Linked DNA regions of Oryzias latipes. The main gene of each other region encodes a partner of the protein of the gene in region 2 in a complex. Links are inferred from orthologs where the notes say so. Each region holds a gene or a part of one and is shown on either strand. Other genes may lie near its edges.

Region 1 (2,817 bases), on a different chromosome or scaffold from region 2:
ACAACGCACAGCGGCGGTGTGAGCCCTGAACTCTGTTGAGTCCGCCTTTCTGTAAGCACACACATCACCACAAATGAAAATCAAACAAAACTCAGTGGGTTTGACCAGTTTTGACTTAAAAATGATGAGTGGCATTCAGTGATTTCAGCTTTGTTACTCTGATGAGGCATTATTGTTATGAAGGATAAACAAAGTAACGGTAAACAAAATGACAAATTGAAAAAAAAACCTACATGCTGGGAACCCAAAGACGTACAGTCTTGTCTCTGGAGGCCGAAGCGACCATGTGACCCGATGGAGAAAACTGCACAGACGTGACTGCGTCTTTGTGGCCCTCAAAGCGATAAGCTCGCATCTGAGGTTTCATGTTCCAGATCATTACACATGAGTCCACAGAACCTGTGGCTGAGAGAATAAAAAACACAGACAAGAAAGAAAATGACTTTGCTGAACGTAAAAACACTTTGGCAATTAGGAAAATCAAGGAGAAGATACCCACCAATCTGTTTCATATTGCAACTGAAATCTACGCTCGTCACTGCACCCCTGTGACCCTTGAAATGCCTCTCAAGGGTGGGATCAGACTATTTGAAAGAAAAAGAGAGAAAACCAAATCAGCCCAAGGAAAAAAATGTATTTAATAACCTGAAAAAACCAATAAAAGTTTGTTGCTATAGGTTCAAGCATCAAAAGTGTTTTTGGGTGAGCCAACACATTAGGACAATTAAATAAAATCAACAAAACAATCAAAATCATTAAGAATGCATAAAATATATATGTACACAAAAGACCTATGTTGTTTTGCACTCTTGATCACAATAGAAAAATGGTCATGGTTACATTTATTATGATTATATGTCGTAAATTATGACATAGCAATGTATTCGCTGATAAATGCAAAGAACTATATCACCACCATTGCAGAGTACTACAAAGTAGAGCCACTGAAGGGGCTATTTCCTTTTATTCTTTCCTGTGTTCTGATATGAGGCACTGTAACCTCCTCCAGTTTGATACAAATTAAAACACACACATGCAGACAAAGGCAATTTAAAAAAATGTATTTGAAATGAGCAGGTATAAGTTTACTTTTTAAAGTTAGAACAAAAATGAAAACAAGACACCATGAAACTTTAACCCTGAGTATAGTTTTTCAGGATACAAATGTATAATATTGTGGTTAATTATTGTCCTTCACCGACTATTTACCCCAAAATAAAATCTGGTTAGTAACGGGACACACGAGTTTCCCGCCAGTGGTTTCCTATTATCTTGCTTTGTAAGAAACGGAATCACATTAAGCAGAGAGCTGTGCCTGACAGTCAGAAAGGAGGGTTAAATCTTAGCGCTGACGGCAAACCGGTTTGTGTTGCCAGGGAGACGTGTGCGGCGGCTGTTGCTAGCCGCTAAGCTAGCAACTACTGGCGAAGGGTGGAGGAGCCTTTTTTGTAGTCGTATGTTTTGGTCAAAGAAGGCTGTTGTAACATGGCAGAGCTGCATATTATAGGACAAATCCTCGGGGCCAGAGGCTTTCCGCAAAATAGTCTATTTTGCAAATGGGGAGTTCATACTGGAGGAGCATGGCGGCTTCTCTCTGGGCTGAAGGAGGGCCAGACCCAAGTGGACATCCCCCAAACGGGTAATATGGCCTACTGGAGTCACCCAATCGATCTACAGTTCGCAACTAAAGGACTGCAAGGTTGGCCGAAGCTACACCTCCAAGTGTGGCACCAGGACTCGTTCGGGCGCTGCCAGCTGTACGGATACGGATACTGCCACGTCCCGTGCAGCCCCGGAACCCACCGGATAGAGTGTGTGACGTGGAGGCCGCTCGGTTCCTGGCAGGAACAGATCACCCAAATGTTTGTCGGCGGAGGTCCACAACTCCGCAGTCCGGACCTCATCTACAGCGGAGCGGACAGATACCGACTGCAGACCGAGGCCATGGGAACTGTGGAGCTGGAGCTCGGTGTAATTATGAGACACTTTGACAAATATGGTGTCGACAGCTGATGCGTGACATGACGGAGCAACTCCGAAAAACCCATGACATTTCAACTGGCACGTGCTTTATATTTACACATGACGCTTCTCCACGTTTTTGTACGTTTCAAATTGCAATTATCACTCAAAATGCCAATATGTGTAAATAAAATACTGTCATCGAAGTTGGTTGTTTTTTGCTGTACCCTAGTTTTTACCTTTAACTTGGTTTTAATAACATTTTCTAGCAGTCCTCCCCTCATTCCCCTTATGAGACAGTTTTGCAAAGACTTTGGTTTATTTTGATATTTAAAAAAAATGTACCTTAAATCCTCAAGTAAGATGACCTCTCATTAAGGTCACAAAACTGATGACCTTACTAATAGTATGACATTTTACAGGACATTTATCCTGATATATTGATTTTAAATGCAAAATACAAGTTCCTCTTGAAAGGTAAAAGGCATTAGTGATGCTCACTAAACTTTAAATCTATGTGATGTGCAATGTAACATAGCAACAAAAGAAAATAATAACTCAAGTTAAAGTGTATTCTAATTTAGAAAAAGAAAGCCCTCAAATAATGGCAATGTTGTAAAATAGATTAAAGAGCTTTGAAAAAGATCTAAAGACGCGCTCTAATCATTTTTTATGTATTGTAAAAGCGTTCCCAGTGGTCTTTTAATTATGATTATGCAGTTTTAAGCCAAAATAAAGAAACCTGTGTTGTTTACTAGGACGTAGTTTCTGCAGAACGTCAGGAGTTAGTTAGAATTGTGGGCAGGGCTGATGGCATGGAGTAAGCCTTCTGACAGTTCCCATCATCCATCTGTT
Region 2 (2,453 bases):
TCAACGGTTCAGCAGCTTCATGTTTGGCGCTCAGAGCAGCGACCAGGAGCTTCCCGCTCAAGTCCAGAGCTCACCTGGATACCAGGTAACGTTTGACTCAGTGGCTGTTTTGAGCGTTTGCTCAATAGTTTGAACTCTGTTTTTAAAAAACAGGGAGGGAGGGGGGGGGCTTTACTTTCTTTGCTGTTTTACACTTGTACAAGCTTCGGTAGTAAAGCTGTGGTTGGTGTTGTATGGCTGACAGGCACAACCCGCCGTCTGGGTCCGCTTTTTACCGGCCCTCACTAGCCAAGCAGCTGTTGCCCCCTCCCACCCTCACTGCCCCCACACCGCTCTCTTTTTACGTGCCCTCATTGGCTAAGCGGCTGCTTCTCGCCCCTCACAGCCAATGTTCACTTTGGCTAAAAGTGCTAATTAATTGCTGAAAGTGCCAGCAGTGCTTCAGCATCATTAACTATTAAAAAATACATTTAAATAGATTTTGTTTTTGGCAAAAATTGTTCCGATGCAATGCATTGTGGTCTATATTCGCCGATCTGTTGAGCGTCGAAGCCCACCTGTTTTTCGCTGAGACTCCCGGGAAATTTCTAGGGCACTGGATTTTGGAATTGTAGATTTGGACAGCACTAGAAAATGGCGATCGCACTATTGAGTGCACTATGTAGGGGTTTGGGTGGGAGTTTGGACATAACCTACAATTCCAAAATCCAGTGCGAATATATACCACAATGCATTGCATCGGAACAATTGCCCAAAAAAATGTATTTAAATGTAATATTTTTATAAATCATCAACGTTTTTATTTTCAGAAGACAGTGGACTCATAAATAATCGTCACAAAACGCTCATATTAAATAGATATGAACTTGATTTCATAGATTCTAACTTAACGATGACGTCATATCCGCCGTTAAGAAAAAAAAGTAGTGAGCATGGTGTCTTTTATAATTCAGGGCACTTAGTATTTTAGTTCTGCTTAGTTTTTTTAGTAGTTAGGGAATTCAGACACAGAAAAACACACTGCTAAAGATGCTAACCATGCTAGCAGCGCTAACAGTCAATACCACATGGTGGCGCTCTTGTGGTGTTGTAGAAAGTGGTTAATGTGCTGAATCAGGTTGTTGGTTCTGGCTGTGGTTCCAGTTTGGAGATGTCCTGAGGACTGCAGACGAGAGCGGGCAGGGGGGGGTGTTTTACCTGCCTGCTGCAGGCATCACTGCTGCCTGTGTGGACAAGAGTCCAGCAGGTAAACCTGAGCGGGCTTCATGTCTGCACACAGAGTTCACATGTAGGTTTGACTCTTTTTATTTATTGTTCTTTGACATCGAGTGTTTTGCTGTTTTTTTTCCCCCAGCGTTCCTAAAGGATCAGCAGAGCCGGTGTTCCCGACGCGTGATCCTGGAGACGGACTGCAGCTCCCTGCCTGCTCTCAGCATGGACTCATACTCCAACATCCTGCTGCTTAATGTGAGGCTCCCGTCCTGAAAGCACAGCACTGCCAGCTTCTCAATGCTCTTTCCTCTTCTCCACTGAAAAGTGATGCTAGATCTGAATAATTCAGATACTTTAGACTTTATTCTAACATTTTAACTAATAATTTATTATTTTTGTGAATTATTTTATACACGAGAAGCTGAAACTTCATGTACCTCCACCAAATGTGTCCAGTGTGACTGAATAGCAAACCTTTTGCCGCTTTTTCTGCTCTGCAGGGGAAGAATCAAGATGCAGCAGTGAGTATTTCTCCTCATTTCTGTTTGTGAAGATAATATTTTCTCTTTTGCCTAAACTGAAGCTGTGCTCCAAAGTTTCCCTCATGTACGATTCAGCTGCAAACTTCCTGTTTCCAGTTTGATAGATCTATTTTTTTATTTTTAAAGTCTTAAGTATTGATCATTTCTTCTAAGGTTTCTAAAATAAAAGCTAGACTTTTCGGTATAAAGGCTCGTCTCGTGAAGTTCAGGTCTCCAGTTTCTCCCATCAGAGCTGTGAAACATCACTGAAGCACGGACGGGCTGATGATTCAGACGCATTATTGTCCCACTTCCTGCTCCAGGTGGTTCCTGTGGACGTATCCTCCGTGGTGCTTCGGTCCACAGAAGGAACTCAGTCTGAGCTGACGGTCGGCGCCGGAGAGGACCTGCGTCCTGTTCTCCTCAGCACCGGCGTCTGCGCCCGTGTGGCGCTGAAGGTGAACTGTCGAAGCGTCTCCGTTCTTCGGAAACGTCAGAGTCGTTTTGGGCGATTGGATTTTTGAAGAACTTTGTCTCTCCAGGTAGTTTATGTGATCCGGTACAACGCGGCGGGCGAGGTGGTGAACGCTGCCGTCTCCGTGGTGCTGGGGTTCATCCGCGGAGCTTCGGTGCTGCTGGAGCAGGAGTTCCAGGCTACATTTGTCCAGGTGCTGCAGCACATCCTCACTCGCCAACGGTCTCTGGTCACATGACCGTGAC

The links.
Region 1: tctn1 (region 2) and b9d2 share a complex: the UniProt entries of both Homo sapiens proteins name them as parts of the tectonic-like complex. The link is inferred for Oryzias latipes from reciprocal best matches to the Homo sapiens genes TCTN1 and B9D2.

Annotation. Positions count from the first base shown.
Region 1 is NC_019863.2:10,016,971-10,019,787, forward strand, and holds b9d2 (B9 domain-containing protein 2), read left to right. Parts: upstream 1-1,319; 5' UTR 1,320-1,485; coding exon 1,486-2,013; 3' UTR 2,014-2,168; downstream 2,169-2,817. Other genes in the region: poc1a (POC1 centriolar protein homolog A), read right to left, coding at 1-49, 234-405, 500-584. UniProt on the Homo sapiens protein: Component of the tectonic-like complex, a complex localized at the transition zone of primary cilia and acting as a barrier that prevents diffusion of transmembrane proteins between the cilia and plasma membranes.
Region 2 is NC_019868.2:27,629,400-27,631,852, forward strand, and holds part of tctn1 (tectonic-1), read left to right. Parts: coding exon 1-85; intron 86-1,143; coding exon 1,144-1,246; intron 1,247-1,354; coding exon 1,355-1,467; intron 1,468-1,712; coding exon 1,713-1,733; intron 1,734-2,056; coding exon 2,057-2,191; intron 2,192-2,275; coding exon 2,276-2,401; intron 2,402-2,453. UniProt on the Homo sapiens protein: Component of the tectonic-like complex, a complex localized at the transition zone of primary cilia and acting as a barrier that prevents diffusion of transmembrane proteins between the cilia and plasma membranes.